5 linked regions of the Bombyx mori genome follow. The protein of the gene in region 4 interacts with the protein of the main gene of each other region in a biochemical or structural test. Links are inferred from orthologs where the notes say so. Each region holds a gene or a part of one and is shown on either strand. Other genes may lie near its edges. The genes, in order: growth arrest and DNA damage-inducible protein GADD45 alpha, RpS3, lymphokine-activated killer T-cell-originated protein kinase, Cdc2 and CREB.

Region 1 (3,559 bases), on a different chromosome or scaffold from region 4:
TAAATTTTACATCTACTTCATTTACATAGAAAGTGAAAATATTTTTGAATTATAGAATGTTAAGGAGCTATGTAAACCCCTATTTTGAAACATTCTTTATTGGTGCTCCACTTGTCTTAGAGAGATGTTATATAGCCGTCTTCCTCAATAAATGGGTTATCTTTAACACAAATAATTTTTCAAATCGGACCAATTAATATTTCCTGAGATTAGCGTGTTCAAACAAACAAACTTCAGATTTGTAATATTATGAAGTATAGATAAATACAAGAATTCCAGCAAATACTAAATTTCAATTTCTGATGAACCTTAAGCATATTTTTTATTAAAATTCCATTATACGATGCTCCTACCATAAATTAATTATTTAAATTGTTTATCTAAATTTATTGTCCTGATATTATTGACAGTTCAATATCATGGGTATCTATCTTGCTTGTGCTTCTTTCTGGAATCTTTTTCTTTTTAACTTAAGATTATATTTAGGGGAAAAAGCGGGAAAAAAAGAAACTTTGTTACAAATAAAATAAAATTTTATTCATGTTTATTATGTTTTAACTTTTACAAAAGATTTATTACGAAATTGGTATAAAGATATAATAAATACATTTTTCGTTACATTAAACTATCTTATGAAACAATGAAAAAAACACTTTTACATTTTAAGACAGTAGCAGTTTAGCACCTACATTTTACAAATTGCTCTCTATCAATTTTTAAATTATTTTAATTCAAAACAAACCCCAAAACATTCTCAAGCAGACTTAATGCAACTACCAAACAACAGATGGCGTTGTGCCTAAGCCAAAATGGCGACCTACTTGAAAAATAATATCGCAAAATTTTCTTTTCACAATAATATCCTCATGTTTAATTCACTTCTCGGGCAACTTGATGACGGGCATTTGTGAATAGCCCCAGTCTGATTCGCAGTGGTCGATCAACTGTCTCTCGGCTTCAGATAATGTTGATAAATCTATTTCTTGACTGTCTGTGAATGGATCTGTATACGGATAGTGTACCAGCACGCAACTGAAGTCCATGGGAGAGCAGTAACCAAGCATTCTCCTCAGCTTAGTCTCACAATCGACCTGTGTACAAAGAAACGAATTTGTTAGCTTTTTTATTTTGATTCCTTTTAACTTAATTCCTTGAATCGTTATAAATTCGATTAATAGGTTCTTGTTAGAGAGTCGGAAATTTTAATGACTTTTTTTACTTCGTGGAAACTAAATTGTCATATAAAATTAATAATAACTATGTATAATTCATTTTATGAAGAAGGAAATAAAATGAAACTCACTTTAATAACATGAATATCATTTTCAACGCAAAATGCTTGCAGGAGGACATCTTGCATATGCGTTGCACTATCGCCAGGCGGGGCTTCGGCGGTCAGGCAAAACAATGCACCATTGCAGTTCTTCGATAAGTATTGAATGGCGGGAAGTAAGCCAATAGTTAACCTTTTTTCGACACAGGCTCGCCTTAACACTGTCTTGATACATTGTCCGATAGAGCTGTGGGAAAACAAATACATTAATAAATTATATGTTACCAAAAACTTTAGTCTCTTGCATGTCAAACGGAGATGCTAACCGCCATACTACAAACAAAATATTATTATCAAAAGCATAAGGTACGTCAATTTATAGTCTAATTGGCATGTTTGAAGTTATTAGAACTTTAAAGTTCTTTGATCTAGGTCAAGTGAAATTCTTGTGAAATATTCATTTTAGTTTATGCATATTGAATTTTTCCTGTTGTAGCTGTAAAGTATTAAGATATTTATTTACCTTTTAGCTGCTATGACACTGAAGGTCTCGGCTTTTACTGGAACAACTGCTTCCTTGTACATTTTGGATAGACGAATGCTTCTTAACTCTTGAATTTCACTAATTTCCAAACTCCGCAGTGAAATCCGAATGTGAATTTTCACAGAAAGCACTAACACTTTACATAAAATCCTTCTATTATGTAAACACACTTGAACTTCTCGCAGTAATTCGAACTTGTGACACAATAATTTCACAACTTTGCTAACGAAACTCGCGTTAGTACACTTTGGATGTTCAATGTAGAATGTGGAGAAGTGACGTAGCGTTCCCTTTTATTGGAAAGGCCGCGCATGCGCACGCTAGTATTTGTATGTGTGCGTATCCTCCGATCAGTTTCGTCGGAGTTTCTTCGAAAAACGCTTGTATTTTCGGTTGTGTGAGTCGTTTTAACTAGTGTAAGTCTGTAAGTGTATATACGAGATAATAATAATGATACGTGGCACGTGGTACGTGTGTGTGAGTGGTTTTTTCTGAAATGCGAACGCGTGGCTTGTCGCGACTTGTTTAAGGACCAATTTAGTTGGAGCTACCCCGTTCTTCTTTTTTGAAGTAAATGCGGCCAGAAAAGGGTAGGTACTATCAGAACGGTAGGTCAAGGTATTTTTTGTTATCGTTAAGCGCATTGGAGAATATCGGAATTCCCGCTACATTGGGTTTTTATTTCAACAGAGGAAATATGGTTCATTTGAAAACAAAAATTGGGTTTGATTCTGGTTTAGTTGTTTTTTTATTTGTAATGAAACATTCGTTTTCAATAGGTACAAGGACTTTAGTATATTTATTGTAGAGCCATGACGGCAAGATGAGAAAACTTCTAATGGGCATTTCTTCTAGTGTTACGACAGGATAGAATTTATTTGAAGTTATGGGCAGGTAGTGAAAATGTTTTTTTTTTTTTTAAGAGATTTTATGACCTGGTAACTAAGACCTTTAAGTCATGTCTTATTTTACTTTATATTCTTAATTTTATGAAAAATGATAATATGGAGTGAAATGAAATGAAGATGATTAATTTGAGACATTAATCAACTGGGATGAAATTTAATGAAATGAGATGATATGGGATGAAATATAATCGCAGTAAAATGGTGGTCATTTACTGAGATTTTTTCAGTGGACTTTTTGGAGGAACCCGAGAAGTTACGTCCAGCAGCTTTGTTTCATTTTCCCACATTGGTGCACTTTCACAGATATTAAACATTTAATAAACCACCGTTATTACACATTTAAACCTGAAGAAACACTAAATAGACAAAATAAAACAAATCACACAACTTCACTGCTCGCGTTCCCGCCAAAAAGTCCAGTGAAAATGTTACTACTATCCTTGTACCTACCTACCCAACTTCAGAAGTCGATGTATTTTAATAGTCTCCACCACAATTCCATTACCTGCATCAGAGCGAGGAGGAAGACATTCATATAAATACGTTAGTTTGAGTATATCATTAGCTACTTATTTTTTTACCTCAAACGTAAATTAAAAAAACCGTGTTTTTTTGAAGTTTTTACTTTCTATAGCACATGAGATGTTAGTGTCGAACGTGAGAGCGACTCTTTCTTATTTTTTTGCTTAGCAGGGTCAATGACCTCGTGGCCCACGTAGTGTTAAGTGGTTACCGGAGCCCATGGACATCAGCAACGTAAATGATTTCTAGTGTATCCAAAGCAGTCAAATTGTATGCAAAAGTGAGTTTGTTTTTCACGTCTGTTAGAAACAA
Region 2 (4,141 bases), on a different chromosome or scaffold from region 4:
TGCTAATTTAAAGTAAAATAGCTATTTTTATGATGGTGGTACGTTTAATAATCAGAATAGTGTTTTCTTGAGTGTTTGAGAGCTGTGGACATTAAAATTGTTTGGTTTGCACCGTAACAGAGCCAATATATAAAAGACCCTTCAATAAACAAGCCAGAATACTCTTCCACTGCAAATTAGATCAAAAGCCACTGAGAGTGCTTGCAATCCCTGATTGCGTGGATTATTAATTTAAGACTAAACTAGGATAGATTTTTGAGATTCGAAGATGTATTTATTACAAAACTCTATGGCTGAGTTCAAAGATAAAACCCTTGACTATTACTATTCAAGTGCATTAGACTTTTTAGGATGCTTTGAAAGGAGTTTCTTAAAATGTCCCTTTATAGTGAAATCTAGTGGTGAAGTTAGTGTGAAGAAATATTTCATTATGATGAAGTAATTTTGTAAATGAATATTTAAACAGGAATAAAACAGTAATTGAGTCGTCTATTATCAAAGCCGGCAATCTGACTTTTGAACAATATTGGTAAATCAGAAAAACGAATTATTGACTTTGTATTCCATTGGCAGTCACAAAACTCTTCGGAACGACATCTTAGATAAATAACAGGTTAACTATTAACCTTTATTTAATGCAGGTTTTGAACCGTATTCTTTGAAGGAGACGATTATATTCAAATCAATCTGTATTGACATATCAAAATATTTTTTTGTCCAAATGCACAGATTGCCACCTTTGATAATAGACGACTCAATTATACTATTTTAATTTAGCCTAGTTGAGTCTAGCCTACGTTAATTACGAAGGTAGTTAAATTCAACAAATACCATAGTGATACCTACGGTAACAAATACCATAATAACATACATTGGTGACTTTGGTGAAGTTTATAATACTATCTCAGACACACACCTTATACTTTTATTTTCAACCCTTTTGGTTTTATACCAGGCTTCACTCTATTTATTTGTAGCAGTTTATACAAATGGTAGATTAGGTTAATCTTACAGGGTATAATTGAAAATTTATCAAAATTTTAATTTATTAACAGTAAGCTGTTTCTCACCTTGATTCCTAGTACTCCTTGCCTGAGAAGCACATGTCTGGTAGCAGTGTTGACGTAGTCATTGCAAGGGTCTCCAGAGTGGATCATGAGTCCATCTACAAACTTCATTGATTTGGCACGTTGACCACGCAGCTTGCCAGATACAACAACTTCACAACCACGGGCGCCAGATTCCATGATGAAACGGAGAACACCATAGCAAGCACGACGTACAGCGAGACCTGAGATTACAGTAGATATTACAATTTTTATAAAGATAAATACAGCATCGAAATAAACGATAAATACATGAATGATAAATACAAATTATTGAAACTATTCTTGAAAACATACATAAGGAGTAAAGAGTAATCTTTCTAAAAACTAAAGAATTTGAGATTAATTTACATTATTGTACGTTAGGATCCGGTGCTTCTAAGCAGTTTTTGCATGCAATGTGACTTGAAGGTGTTTTAGTTTGAATATTCTTCAGACAGGTAGCAATTTTTAAATGCCATATGTGTGTAACAACACATTGCCAATCGACTTCCACAAACTTTGTGGCTAATTTATTACAATTCTATAATTATGAGATTTTTTAATAAAATTAATATACACAATAGCCATTAGTAGTGTGTCTTGTGCAGAGGCTGGGTATAGACTTTTTGATTACACATCATAACAATTTACATTTAAAATTAATGAATAGGAAAGTTTTTTTTTGTGAATCATGTATGTCATGAGCATAGTTATAGGATTATTTATGCACAATTAGATGAATGAATTGTTTCAAATGATTCTAAAATGAGTATGCATTTTATACAATTATTTTCAGATTTAAATGTTACCAGCATAACATGCAAGCATATAGCAATAGGCTGATGCAATTATGATATGAGGATGTTAATATAGCCTCAACGAAAAACACATCAACTTATTCTGAATTGAAGTGTCAGGTGTGGGGCATACATACACATAGATATTTAATGTTTGGTTTAGTATCTGTAAATAAGCCACACATGTTATTTTTATTAATTGGTGTGTTAAAGAATTTTTCTGTGCTTTTCATGCAAGTTTAACCATGTAGACATACTAACCTCCGATAAGCTTGTATCTTAGAGATTCGGCCTGGGCGATAGCGCAAAGACCACGAGTAGCCACCTTTTCAGCATACAATTCTACAGATTGCTCTGGAATGTTGAATCGCTTCTGTACTACGGAAGTCAGCTCACGGATTCTGCGTCCTTTCTCTCCGAGCACACTTTGTGTCCTGGTGGCCATAATAATGATCTCCGAGCGGATGGGAGTGACCCGGACTTCCACGCCGGAGTAGCCGTCCTCGGCCAGCTCCCTAGTGAGGAACTCATTGAGTTCCGCCTTGAAAACTCCATCTCCAACAAACTGAAAAAACATCAAGAGGTTATGTTTTTAGCACGTCGCTCCTGCTTTTGAATATTATCTTCGTTCATTGTATGAAATCGAGATATTTGTTTGTGATGTAGAAGGCTCCAAAATCACTGAAGAAAACTATGTTAGTGTAAAAAATGATGAAAACTATTTCACCGCTGATCACAACTGAAAATATCCACTAACATCACAAATTACACTTGCTAAATAAACGAATTTTCTGAACTGGTAAATCAGTTGAGTATTTAAAAATAAATTTAACTAAATATTTTGCAGCGTATAACACTAAATAAAACGTACTTTTCGCTTCTTTGAAATATTGTTCACGGCCATGATTGCAACGGGAGCCGAGAAAAAGAGGGACGGCGATGGCTGATGACAACAAGAACGTCAATGTCAAGTAATGTCAACTGTCAACTGTAATCGTTTTTAAGTCTACACTCAATTTGTTATAAAACATGCAAAATGAAATAACAATGTGGGTTTAGTCGATTTATTGGTTGATTTTCAAACTAGGTTAACTTTAGTTTCACTAGATAGGCGATTTGTTATACAATAGCGCAGCAAATACTCTTCACATGTTTTTTAAACAGGATTGAAGTTGCAATGTTTTTTTTATTATTTTTTTATTCCTTAGTTGGGTGAACGAGCTTAAAGCCCACCTGGTGGTAAGTGGTTACTGGAGGCCATAGACATGTACAACGTAAGTGTGCCACCCACCTTGAGATATAAGTTCTCAGTATAGTTACAACTTACAACTGGGTGAAATTGCTTGGTTTTCCAACTGTCCTAATGTTGTTGTTTGGTGCTTGTTTAATTTAAATGCAAGCATGTATTCAAAATGTCAATAGCGAAATTCAGATATCTATCAAATATTTTGTGTTCTATGATGGCTACTGCCACATTTCCATATTTATTGATAGAAGAAACAACGATGATATACAAGTAAGTATTTGTTTTATTTGAGTTGTGATATATAGATATTTTAAACTTTTGGTATTGGAAAATTATAATATAATATAATATTGAATAAGTATCATTAGAACAAAAAACGGATGAAGTAAAAGGAAAAACAAAAAAAGAAACCGTAAAAGTCCGTTCCTACAGCATCTAAGGCACTTTGCAATGGTTAAATGGATATTTTAATATATATAATAATATATAGCCCAAGGAGGATTGACGCCAGGCTGGCAGCCGGTTGGAAAATTCATGCTAAATCTTTTTTTAGGACTGCAGGATTACTTGTGGCTCCGAGACCTTTCAAGTTTCACGGAGGCGCGGGATTTGCTAACAGCTGCCCGATGGATCCGTAAGGACGTGTGGAGTCGACTGTGACAACAACAAGTATATACAAGTATAAACTAACAGCTGTCGTTGGTTAAATTTATATTTTGTGAATAATTAATGTTAACTAAAGGCAGCACCCGAAAATTCAAATTAAATGTGAATCTGTAATAAAACTATCAAATAAATTACGTCGGACGATCCGACTGACATACGGCACCATCCGGTACCCGGGCCGGCCGGTTTAAAATATGTTTCCAAAGCTTCTACCGGGGTTCTACGCCAGGCCCCATAACAAGTAATTCTAGGCGAAGAAGAACACGAAAATCGAGCAACCACCACTTCGTAACGAACATTGCATTGGAACATGGAACGTCCGTGAACTGTTAATGGCTGGCAAA
Region 3 (4,128 bases), on a different chromosome or scaffold from region 4:
AGGTGTTCCACAAAACAGACAATTTCATCCAGTAAAATGCTTTCGAGAAGTCAAAAAAACAAACTTATGTTGAATAATCCCCCAAAGACTTAGTAAAAGACCGCATATGTCAAAAACTAGGCTACCCTTGGTATCCTATTAAATTATATTATATGGTGCCCCAAAAATAGCGCAAGACTTGAATTTGCCGCCATTGAAGATGCAGTAAATTTGTTGGCAGCTCTGAAAAAATAACATTTTGGTAGCTGAGAGTTTAATTTAATAATAATTATAAGATTTTAGAAGAAAATCATCATACGCCATAAATCATATTTTAACGTTCACCTCATGTGAGCTTTTCATTAATATTTGTATAAATTAAAAATTTAAGTTCGATTTCATCGAATAATTGATCGATTTAAGTTGATTGCGGTTGAACAATTTTTAAATTAATTTTCATTTAAATTTTAAATCATATCTACGATACGGCTTAACAGCACAGTATACAATAATTGTCATTCCTTTAAAATTCGAACTTTGACCCATAGATAATACACATAAATGCTTTGACCTTATATAAATGTAGTACTTTTTAAATGTAGGAATAAGTAAAAAAACGTTTCATTGATCCTGTCTGATCTTCAAAATAGTTTTGTATTTTGTCCTACAGTTACGATGGGCCGTACTGTGAGCAAGAGGTGCAAGCACAGTAAGACTATTAACTTCATTTTCTTTAATTAAAATTCATTTCTAAGCAGCAACGCACCTCCTAAAAAGCAACATAAGCTTTCGCTTGATTTTTTTTCTTGTTCGACAGTTTGATGCAACTTGGGGCTTAGAGTGACCGTGCTTCTCATTCTAGCCCAGCGCCGCATCTACTTACACCTGCCTGTCTTATCCATCTAATGTATAAAACTGTAATCAAATATTTTAATCGCAAGATTTACCGGCGATACTTTTTTTTAGAACAATAAAAAAAATCGAAATTGAAGAATAAGCTTACAATCGTTTGTTTAACGTAGAAGCAAATTTAAATCATTCGAGAAGCTTGGATAAAATACCTCTTTGGTGTCAAAATTGCATCTCGTTCTTGTAAGATTAATAAGTAGCCGGTAGAGGCATTTCTAACAGAACATTTTTTTAACTATGGCTTGAAATTTTTAAGTGACATAGTCCATAAATAAAATAAGGAGAAGCCAGCTAGGTCAGAAAGAATAGCTGTTGAATCGTAAAATAAATTGTTGTTCCTTCCTTTTTTCTAGGCTATTTGTGTAAGTCATCCTTCTGCTCGTTTTGTCATACTGTTGCTGTCAAAATTTGTAAATGTCAAGCTGTCAGAATGTCATAATTTTACCTACAATTTCAAATTTAAAAATTAAACCGTTGTTGTACTGTGGTGTCTTTTTCAAATTGGTGAAGTAAACATTTTAAAACTTAACCAAATTGAAATCAATCATGACCGAATTCCAAACGCCACAAAAGTCTATCAAATCTTTCGACAACGATAAAATAACTATACCACCATCACCGTTTTTAAATAAACTTGGTTATGGTACTGGTACGTAAACAATAAAACTTCAATAATTAATAATAGATTTACCTAGAATACTGTAAACTTCATTTTGTGTTTTAGGGGTGTCCGTTCTGCAATTAGTGAGGTCCCCGAGGGCAGGACTTATCCGATCACCGTGGGCTCTCAAAATGTTGAACAAACGAGTTAAACCAAATAAAGTATACACAGATCGACTGAAAACTGAGGCGGAACTGTTACAAAAAATGTCCCACCTTAACATAGTGGGTTTTAGGGCATTTAGTAAAGGCAAGATTCTATACTTGGGCATGGAAGCTTGTGATTTATCCTTGGGGGACTTGATCGAAAAAAGAGTAGATGATGATTGTACGCCCTTTTCACCAAGACAAATGTTGCAGGTAAACATTTAAAATTATTTAATCTACAGTCAAAGTTGTCTATTTTGATATTAAGAATGTTATTGTATTCTTTAAAAGTTCACAGTAATTTCATTATCCATGAGCTAAAAAGGTATTAGCAATGCTGCAATAGAATGATTTATATTTCAGAACTATTTTTCAGACCAGAAACTGAACAAAAATTAAATTAAAATTATATATTATAATGAGCAAAATTATAATTTGTGTAATTACTGATGGTAGGACCACAAGTGAGTGCACGGGTAGGTACCACCACCCCGCCTATTTCTGCCATAAAGCACTAAGTAATGCATTTCAGTTTGAAAGGTGGGGCAGCCATTGTAACTATACTAAGACCTTGGACTCATATCTTAAGGTGGCATTTATGTTGTAGACATATATGGGCTCTGGTAACCACTTAACACCAGGTGGGCTGTGAGCTCGTCCACCCAAATAAGCAATTAAAAAAATTATGTTCCAATCCCTTTATACAACTTATTGACTCTCAGCTTCCAAAAATGGTCTACAGTATACTTCTGTAGATTGTAAGATGACCAGTTACCTTGTTTTTACTTTTAATTATGTTTAGTCTCATTGGACCTTAATTTTAGGTGGCTGTAGACATCTCCAGTGCACTTGAATATCTTCATACGAAGATGCAAATTTTACATGGAGACATGAAATCTTACAACATATTAGTCAACGGTGATTTTGTGATATGTAAACTTTGTGACTTTGGAGTGACACTTCCTCTCGACGAAAATGGAATATTTGATAAGGAAAATGCTGGTGGAACTGTTTATTATGGTAATTTCTTTGACTAAATTATGTAGGTACCTATATAAGTTTTGTCTACAAGACAAACATTTTTTCAGTTCAGTAAAGATTCTACAAATTATTAAAATAAATTAGCGTAATTGAAAATCTACTTGATTTTGAATACAGAAGTAATACAATGTTTGATAACAAATAAATGTGTGACTAACAAAACACTATAAAACTCAGGTACAGAAGCATGGAGCGCACCTGAAGTAATTCACGGAGGGCAGATCAGTGACAAAACTGACATCTGGCCATTTGGTCTCACTCTGTGGGAGATGATGTCACTAATGCCACCTCACTCACAAATTGATGAGGACACCTTTGATATGAGCCTGGATGATCTTGACGAGAGTGGTTATGATTTCTCCGATCGATATGGTAAGCATACAAATGAATGTGCTAAAGTTAGATTGCTCTGAGTTGGATGTAAGGTTGTCCTAAAAATATTTATTTCAGTTTTTGTTTCTCATAATGATAATAAGTTAGTTGGATGATATATAGAAATAATTCGACCAATACAATGGCCAATATTTTAAAATATAAATTAGAATAAATACTGAATCAATTTTTGGAAAATCTATTTTATTTTCAAATTCTTTTCTTTTCTTCTACTTATTTTAAATTGATTTGAACACAATTTTTTTCTTATTATTTGTATACCATTCTCTACAGAAATAATTTCCCAATTAAAGATAATATAAAGACTTCTAAAAGAAGAAAATCATAATGTTTACTATTTTGATAATAAATTTGAATTACAGGCAGTCGTCCAGACGTCCCCGCCAACATATCGGAAGTAGAATACGCACAGCCGTTAACCCTGTTCTGCAGCTGTACTGAGAGCCGGCCGGCCGACCGCCCCCAGGCCGCGCAGCTCGCGGCGGCCGCCCGGGCCATGGCAGCGGCATTACTTCATAACACATCATGTCAATAGGTTTCTATAAGGAATTCACATTATCTTACCTGCTACATCTAACATGTAATTTAGAAATTTTGTGTATTTGAACTCATCGCGGCCTAAAGACAATAGAGAGAGAGAGAGAGAGAATACACTTTATTGCACACCAAAACACAATTTACATTCAAAAAAACAATCAAAAAACAGATAAATTTGTACAATAGGCGGTCTTATCGCTAAAAGCGATCTCTTCCAGACAACCGTATAATTTATAGAAATTCTGGAAAATATAAAAAAATATAGCAGGTATGTTGCGGTGTACTATAGTTAATACATTATAGAAAATATATACATATAATAACAAAATATATACCGTTTACATATAATATGAAATATATACTTATTATTATATACCAATATATATGCATGCAATAGGCATGATATCTCCACATAGTCTTCCAATGTGAAGACGGAACCACTCCATACTGACAGACCAGGGA
Region 4 (4,130 bases):
TTATTTAAGCTAATATCAGGTATAAGCAAGGTCGCAAGAAAGTGGAGGTACATCCGGGAATGGAATGGATAAACAGAAGTTTTAGAGGCTAACAATATGTAAACTAGTCTTCTATTTCTTTCTACATACTTCAAAATTACATATTTATAATCATATTTACTGCCCTGTAAATGTAAGTCAAACATTTCATTATATTCATTCTTTTATTGGAAGGAAATCACTCAATCAAGTTGAAATAGTATTATTATAATTTAATTACCCCAACAACAGGTTTTTTTAAAATTTATTAACTGTTATATAAGTGTTGTTGTAGTAATTGCACACCCAAAAAAAACAACCAAAACTTGAATGTCCACATCATATTTTAGTTAGTGTTCAATCTGTGTTTTAATCCAAAACTAGAGTTTTATTCTAAGCACCAGTTACATTCCATTGTTGAAGGGAGCATAAAAAACTTTTTTTTTTCAATTATTGTTGTTAAGATTTAACTCTAATAAATCTAAGGCAGACAAGCATCACAGTAAGTGGTCACCGTTGCTCATGGACCTCAGAAATACATAGCCAAAGCCTACCACTAAAATGGCGAAATGCCTACTCACCTGAAAATGCGGAAGAGTTGATCAATTTCAGAGTCTCCTTGAAACAGTGGCTTCTTTGATGACATCTCAGAGAATATACAGCCAACTGACCATATATCAATTGGACAAGAGTATCTAAAAGTAAGACAAGTTACTATTATACAAAATAAATAATAAATAAATAAATAATCTACCAAATAATGAACTCCACACGGTCACTGACCATTCTTTTGTATTAAGAAACAATTAGTGGCAATGTATTGCCACACTATTCTATGAATTTACAATGCAACTTGCCATTTTTTAGAAAACAAAGTCTAAAGCTCTTAAAACAAAATGTTTTTTCTAAAATACATTTCATTATTGGGCCAAATTACAACTAATGTGTATTGATTACTCATTATAGAAAAGTTATATTGGAGTTTGTAGTGGCTGGTTTTGACTGATTTGGATAAGATTTTACCTTTGACTTCCTAGTAAGACCTCAGGAGCCCTGTACCACAATGTGACAACTTCATGTGTGTAGACCCGCACTGGAACACCGAATGCTCGACCAAGACCAAAATCTGCAACCTGTCACAAATTTATTAGGTATTTATGAAGAAAATAAAACTATATGACCATTGTCTAATGTCAGTGTTTGACTTTTCAAACTGGTAAAACTATATTTTGAACAAATATACTATGACATGGCCTTCACACACGTCATTTCGGATCCTCCCGATCCACTAACAGTACTTTTAGGTACCTCAAGCACCGATCATCGTTCTCGTCGAACCCGTCGCTTGCGACGAAGGGCTCGACGAGTAAATTAACCCTCAGACACAGCCCACTGAGTTTCTCGCCGGATCTTCTCAGTGGGTCGCGTTTCTGATCCAGTGGTAGATTCTGCGAAGCACGGCTCTTGCTAGGGTTCGTGTTAGCAACGTCATCAGGTTTGAGCCCCGTGAGCTCACCTATTAGTTAAGGTTACGCTGATATAGCCTCTCAAGGCTATCAGGTTAGGTAGAAAAAAAAGGCCTTCACATTGACCTATAGTAATAGCACTGACACTGTTCAGTCAGTATCAACACCAATATACATGGTCTATATAGCGTCCATAGTTTCATGTTACTGGTTTTGATTTACAACTTTTTTTAAAACGATAAAAAGGCTGTCAGTAGTCTAGAATTATCGAGAGGGTTCTTGCTGGTCCCAAGACTCACTGTTTAGCACTTTTTAATATCTTTTTGCAATTATTAATATCACCATAAAATACTCTCACTTTAATGATTCCAGTCTTGTCGATGAGTAGGTTCTGTGGTTTGAGATCTCGATGCAGGATCCGTCGTTGGTGACAGTACAAGATGGCATTGTTGATTTGATATAGATAGCTCTTAACTACAGATGGGTCCATGAACTGAAAATAAATAATGATAACCAATATTTTTACAAAAATTTACTCTGTTACAAAATTTAACATTAAGAATTACTTTGCCTTGTCTTGTGTGACTTATTTATTGCATTTATAGATGGCCCACCTGATGGTGAGTTGTATCTAGGTCTTGCGGAAATCAGCAATTCTAGAGGCAAATCCCAGCCATGGTCAACTGCTGACGCATTATCTCAGGAGACCTTCGCAGTTTATTTAAACAAAAAAGTTTTTTTTTTTCAGAAATAAAAACTCCAAAGATGCAACTAGTCCTAATTAACAATTTTTTATATTTTAAGCATTGTACTACAATTTATATGATTGTGGACACACTTCAAACAGGCGTCATAGTTTGTTGTAAAATTTAATTTAAGGCATGGTTATGTTACCTTTCCAGAACCAAGGGAGTCCATATATTTCTTCAAGTCCATAGAGAGGAATTCGAAGATTAAGTAAAGTCGCGACTCTTCCATCAGGACATCCTCCAACTTGACAATATTAGGGTGGTTCAGTTCTTTAAGTAGAGATATTTCTCTGAAATGTTTTCAAGAAGTTCTGGTTAATATAGGTTATGTTCTCAAATGCATGAGAATGTGTTTTTAATTAATATAATTGTTTTTGTGCAAGTAATTCATTCAATTTTACGTCGTTTACCTTATTGCCGTGGATGGTATGCCTTCGTCTTCGGACTCCAAGCGAATTTTTTTCATGGCTACAAATTGACCAGTTATTTTGTTTTTTCCTTTGTAAACGACACCGTAAGTACCTTCGCCGATCTTTTCTATCTTTAAGAAATCATCCATCTTGTAGTAAGGAATTTTGGCGGTTTTATGCAGACCACAACAAAAAAATCACAACACCATGCAATTTTTCTTACTCCTACAAAATGCGTGTTTTAATAATTTTTATGTGTTTTAAATTCATAAATGTCTCAACATTTGACTGTAATCCTTAATTCAAGTCACTTCTGTTCTTTTTAGGAAATATTTTAAATGTTTTACTATTTTACAATCTCTAACGTTTATCCCTTCAACGTCTTTCAAACGAAAACTTTTTGAAAATTTTCGAAGTGGACTATTTATGTCAATTTATGTGTCTATGCTTTGTTTATGACTAACTTGTTTCAGAGTTAAATAACGCTTAGAATAGCATAAATGTGCTACTTCAATAGACAAAATTGTTGTTGCTAGAATGAGATAGTACTAGAACACTAAAAATGCATATCAAAAAGCTTGATGTTTTATGAATGGTATCGGAACACATTATCATAGACAAACAAAGAGAGATTAATTTGAAAAGCAAGACGTACATACATACGTTGTAAGCATTAGTCTATTTTAAATAATGCAAACTGAATCATTTCAAAGTAAAATATAAATATTAGTTTAATTAATTTATTTATTTTGTTAAGAGTTACACAGGAAAGCAACGATACATTATTTTTACAGTAGTTTTCGTCGTGCAACACTAGAAATGAATCTGTTGGTACCCTAATGTGTGGAAAACAAAGCTTAACTAAATATAACTGTTTATGGTTTTCAATCTGATTTAAGGTCATAAATAGTCACAATCGATCTTTTTTTCGAGGCATCACATTAGGCTTAGATTTTTTTTGCTATAGCTTGTTTTATATCCGCGATAAACGCGTTTTTTTCTCATTTCTCTCATTTTAAGACCTCAAACGTGTTTTATGTTTTTATTGGATCGCATAACATTTTATATCTTAACTAGGTAGTCTGATTTCAAAATATCCAATAATCGTTGCTCGATATCCGTGTTTCATTCATATCCGCCATTATTGTAGCGACAGTCTGTACTTTAAAGTAATAAATGAGAATCTTTTATTGTTTTGAATTCTAAAAATGCTAGTCGTATAATTGTTTTAGGTACCTACAAATTTGAACCGATTTTGGTATTTCCAGACTGATATCGGATTTAATTTTATTCGATTCCCGATCGCGACTGCTTTTATTAAAATGCCGTCTGATTTAACCCTTAAAGTTTAAGGGTTAAGGTAAAATAAGGTCCAAGATTTCGGCCAGAGAGAGGTAATGAGAGCAATTCATCATACTCAAATTCTACAGATAATTTAATCTGTTTCTCAATTGAACTCTATGTAAACTTTTGCCCTTGAGCGCATT
Region 5 (4,273 bases), on a different chromosome or scaffold from region 4:
AAGAATGGATATAGGTCGATAGTCGGAAAAGGATTTAGGGTTAGGTTTTTTTGGCAGAGGTATTATCTGTGCTTCTTTCCAAACAGAAGGAAACACACAGTTGGAAATTGAAAAATTAAGGATGTGGCAAAGAATAGGAAGCAGGATATCAACTAATGGGATGACCATATTACGACTTATACTATCTGTTCCGATAGCATTGGACGCTATAGAAAGGATACTCCTTCGAACATCACAAGCTGTGAATTGACGAAATTTAAAAGAAGAATGGTCAGGAGCGGTAATGTTAGAAAGAGAATTAATGGTAGATGACTTAACAACGTCATCTAATAAAGACGAAGAAGTAAAGAAAATGTTCATCTGATCAATGTTAATGTTTGTAGAATTACACTCTTGACGAGATTTACCAACTCCTAATGACCTTAGAAATTTCCAGACTTTTGCTGGATCCTCAACTTTAACGGAATCATGAATGTGACGTCTTTGAGCGTCTCTACACACCATATTGCAACGATTTCTGATCTTAACATAACGTGTTCGGTTAAACTCGGTTGGGCGCAACTTATACTTAGTCTTAGCCGCAGACTTCCTCCTCTTCAGATCTCTAATATGTTTATTTATTATTTAATATATTTAATTTATTTTTATTAATTATTTTTCATGTCTTGTTTTTAACTAGCTTATCCTTTTGTTTCCTTTTGATGACTTTGTCGCGGGTAGTTTCCCTACCTTTCACTTGAAACTGGCATAAAGTTAAAACTATTGCCATAAAGGAAAAAAAAAAAAAAAAAAAAAATATGTTTGATTTTGAGTTTTGTTTTGTGACAGTTACATTGAAAAAGTCGTGACACTTGCAATATGTGACACAATAAGAAGATACAATGTAGGCAAAAGTAGCTTGCATATGCAGCCACGTGACTGACGTCATCATATACCACATAGGATTTAGGGAGTATAAAATTGCTTCAACACAGAAAGTTACTCCCAAAGAGTATATAATCACTATAACTGGTTACTCCAAAATGGTGTTTTCTTTGGTTCATTATTTATTTTAAAATTCATTGATTATTTATGGACTAAGTTGTTTGCGAAATTTAAAAAAATATGGACAGTTAAAAATATTTTTTCTTGTACAATATTTTTAACATGCATAAATGTCGTGTAAGTGATGATAATCAAAAAACGAAAACAATGATTATGTACCTAGACATATTATGAACACAATTTTTTATTGTAATTTCAAAGTTTATAACATCCATTACTGACAGTTATTGTAAATTGAGAATTTTTAACGCATGCGCTATCCAGTTAAAGAATTCGGCCATATTGTGATGACGCATACAAGATCATAGGTCTCCGCCAGTGACGAGTCTTCTCGCAGTTGACGTGGCTACTACGTACCTTCCCGTTCACCCACTCCGGACGCAGCATAGACGGTGACGAGGAATACGTAACTGGTGAGTGCTTGTGAAGACTAAACTTGCGACCTGTCACGGTCGCATATATTTGGAATCGCAAATAATGTATGTTCCATATGATGATAAAATCACTCAAAATGTTCCAAACACAGAGATAATCTGTGTCATTTACATGAAACGCGTTGTTAAGAAATACCGCGTTTTGGCTATGACGTGATGATGCCGTTTTAGGATATCCCGTGAACAACCTTGCAACGATAGAGCCAAGCTAAACAAATTGGTTTTGCAATACGCATAAAAACCTAGTAATGAAGAATGCATAGAGAGTTGACCTTGAATTTTAGGTGACCTTAGTTGGCATGGAAGGGATGGTTGAAGAGAACGGCACCACAGGCGGTGCTGGCACGACGGATCCACTGGCCAGCGCGAGCTCTTCGACACCGGGTTCCACTCCTCATGTTGTCACCAGTATAGTACAACTTACTCTACCCAGTCAGGCTCCCTCTGCACAGGTGTGAATTCCATCTATATGTATTGTTGAGTGAATCAAATTAATATAAAATTTTAATATTATAGTTAAAAGGGGACCTTTTCAATAATATCAGTAAACTGTTTGTTTTGTTTACAAATATTAAGACTAGATAGTACATATAAATCATTTAAATTTTTTGCAGGTGCAGTCTGTTATTCAACCTAATCAACAATCAGTGATACAAACAGCATCCAATATCCAATCTGTACAGATACCAAAGGGAAATGTTATACTTGTTAGTAAACCCAGTTCTGTAATACACACTACGCAAGGGACATTACAAACGTTACAGGTAAATTAAATATTCTCTAATCTTTACAGTAATTCACTCAATAGTGTTGAGGAAAGCCATCATTGCCTAATTTTTTGGTTAGGATAAAAACATTTTTTGAAATCAAACTTTATAGCATATTTAATGACCAAAATAAGCAATAACTAGAGTATGGTTCAATTGTAAATTTTCATAAAATCATACTAAATATCTAAAACAGACAAAAGTTTCAAATTTTTTTTATTCCTATTTCTTATTTTAGATAAAACCAGAACCTAATACACTTGTGAATACACAAGGTCAGTCATGTAGTGATGAAAGCTGTGGCAGTGGTGATGAAAGTCCCAAACGTAAATATAGAGAAATGTTGACTAGACGTCCGTCTTATCGAAAAATTTTAAATGACCTTGGAGGAGCAGAAATTGCAGGTACAGTTTCTATGTTTACTGTTTTGGTGTATAATAAAGACTTGTGATAGATGTAGTGCTGTGCATTGTGCGAATAATAGTCTGCTCAATAATAAATTATGCAAACTTGATTCACCTAAATCAATCATTACATTTTTTGTCATTGGATCAGCTACCAATGTAATAATATGGAAAAAGCACTAATTTATCAAATGTATTGCTGTTAATAATACTGCAGTAGTAATGAAGATGCAATAATTATGATAACAATGTCATATTTTGTCTTTCAATAATAATCATAATTTGATCACAATGACTAAATATTTTTAATTAAAATTGGTTATTATCAATCAATATGCTACTAAATTGGCACAGTTAATTGTCGCTAGTACTAATGTTTCATAGCACCGAAAAAGCTAGTAGTAATATTTCTATACTAAGATGGGCCCACAACCCCTCTTTTTCAACCCATGTCCACTTAATACTGAGTGTAGTTCTCTTCACATGCACTCAATTCCCTTCAGTCTCTTGCCTTTCTCCATCTACATCCAGTACTTACTAGCTATTTTGACCATATCGTCAGTCCACCTCCTTGGTTGTCTGCTGACATTACTTTGCTCAAGGCCTACATATTATAAAACGACAACTGGAGCTCATAGAAACTGCAATGTGAATGAGATTGGATTATGATGTTCAATATTTTGCATTAATACAATGACCACCTTTGGTCAAACCGGACACATTATTATTTTTCACTAGAAATAGGTACAATACTGATACCCATGTGAGGGCTCATGGTATTCCAAATTTAAAATTAAAGAGGGTTTTATATGCTGTTTATTGATATCAGAAAAACCAAAGCCAGAACCAAGTCACTCCCACTGTGGAGCTCCAAGATATTACTTAAAGTGGTGGAAATTACTGGCAGTAGCTTAAAGATACCAATTCTTGTATTTAAGACGAAACTGATTTCTCTGACTTAAGATATCATTAGGCTTTTTATATATATTACAATCTAATTCTCTTATTATTATATATTTTGAGCCTGGCTAAATTCTTAATGCATTAAATTTGGAGGTGAGGTGAGGATTTAACTTCACTCATTAGTGGAGTTAGCACCTCTATTAATTGTTAATGTAGATAAAAAAAATACAATTACAAGTAAAATATAATAGTTTCGTTAATACTCTTTGTCAATTTCCACACATGTGTATGTACAGTATATAAAAAATAATATATGATCTACAAATTTTGTTCAGTAAGTTTTTAAATGTGAAGCTAACCAAAACGCTTGAAGTAAGCTGTAACCGTTTCTTCTTTTGCAATTGTTGGGCAATCGGTCAGTCCATTTAGACAACGATACTTTTCACTTTTATTGTGTCATTAATGAAATAATTTAAAAAAAACTCCTGAAAGACCAATAAATTGAAAACTTTAAATTTAATGTCATTCCATTTGTATCCAAAAATAAAACTTGAATAATTTGAGTTTAATAATTTTTACTTTCAAACATTACTCTGGTAGGAAATCTTGTTCATTAATACAACTTACAAATTTAACCAATTTAGCTCTCAAAATAAAAATAATTAACGAAATAATATCTTGATACTAAATAAAAATATCTTCATTGTATAAGTATGCAAGT

The links.
Region 1: the proteins of Cdc2 (region 4) and growth arrest and DNA damage-inducible protein GADD45 alpha form a complex in vitro, tested with the Homo sapiens proteins (5 studies listed by BioGRID). The link is inferred for Bombyx mori from reciprocal best matches to the Homo sapiens genes CDK1 and GADD45A.
Region 2: of the proteins of Cdc2 (region 4) and RpS3, one has a biochemical effect on the other in vitro, tested with the Homo sapiens proteins (2 studies listed by BioGRID, with this or other methods). The link is inferred for Bombyx mori from reciprocal best matches to the Homo sapiens genes CDK1 and RPS3.
Region 3: the proteins of Cdc2 (region 4) and lymphokine-activated killer T-cell-originated protein kinase form a complex in vitro, tested with the Homo sapiens proteins (2 studies listed by BioGRID and IntAct, with this or other methods). The link is inferred for Bombyx mori from reciprocal best matches to the Homo sapiens genes CDK1 and PBK.
Region 5: of the proteins of Cdc2 (region 4) and CREB, one has a biochemical effect on the other in vitro, tested with the Homo sapiens proteins (2 studies listed by BioGRID). The link is inferred for Bombyx mori from reciprocal best matches to the Homo sapiens genes CDK1 and CREB1.

Annotation. Positions count from the first base shown.
Region 1 is NC_085134.1:418,464-422,022, forward strand, and holds growth arrest and DNA damage-inducible protein GADD45 alpha, read right to left. Parts: upstream 2,327-3,559; 5' UTR 1,859-2,326; coding exon 1,797-1,858; intron 1,640-1,796; coding exon of another isoform or gene 1,592-1,639; exon of another isoform or gene 1,577-1,591; intron 1,521-1,576; coding exon 1,304-1,520; intron 1,092-1,303; coding exon 876-1,091; 3' UTR 512-875; downstream 1-511. Other genes in the region: electron transfer flavoprotein beta subunit lysine methyltransferase, read left to right, coding at 1,592-1,639. UniProt on the Homo sapiens protein: In T-cells, functions as a regulator of p38 MAPKs by inhibiting p88 phosphorylation and activity.
Region 2 is NC_085120.1:12,499,966-12,504,106, forward strand, and holds the start of RpS3 (ribosomal protein S3), read right to left. Parts: upstream 2,814-4,141; 5' UTR 2,790-2,813; coding exon 2,757-2,789; intron 2,451-2,756; coding exon 2,147-2,450; intron 1,292-2,146; coding exon 1,071-1,291; intron 1-1,070. UniProt on the Homo sapiens protein: Component of the small ribosomal subunit. The ribosome is a large ribonucleoprotein complex responsible for the synthesis of proteins in the cell. Has endonuclease activity and plays a role in repair of damaged DNA.
Region 3 is NC_085116.1:697,789-701,916, forward strand, and holds the start of lymphokine-activated killer T-cell-originated protein kinase, read left to right. Parts: upstream 1-1,318; 5' UTR 1,319-1,434; coding exon 1,435-1,537; intron 1,538-1,612; coding exon 1,613-1,908; intron 1,909-2,519; coding exon 2,520-2,715; intron 2,716-2,913; coding exon 2,914-3,108; intron 3,109-3,491; coding exon 3,492-3,664; 3' UTR 3,665-4,128. UniProt on the Homo sapiens protein: Phosphorylates MAP kinase p38. Seems to be active only in mitosis. May also play a role in the activation of lymphoid cells.
Region 4 is NC_085122.1:10,047,235-10,051,364, forward strand, and holds the start of Cdc2 (cell division cycle 2), read right to left. Parts: upstream 2,804-4,130; 5' UTR 2,793-2,803; coding exon 2,644-2,792; intron 2,524-2,643; coding exon 2,379-2,523; intron 1,978-2,378; coding exon 1,843-1,977; intron 1,152-1,842; coding exon 1,042-1,151; intron 714-1,041; coding exon 600-713; intron 1-599. UniProt on the Homo sapiens protein: Plays a key role in the control of the eukaryotic cell cycle by modulating the centrosome cycle as well as mitotic onset; promotes G2-M transition via association with multiple interphase cyclins.
Region 5 is NC_085116.1:8,893,062-8,897,334, forward strand, and holds the start of CREB (cAMP responsive element binding protein), read left to right. Parts: upstream 1-1,464; 5' UTR 1,465-1,523; intron 1,524-1,649; exon of another isoform or gene 1,650-1,762; 5' UTR 1,763-1,777; coding exon 1,778-1,930; intron 1,931-2,092; coding exon 2,093-2,242; intron 2,243-2,483; coding exon 2,484-2,649; intron 2,650-4,273.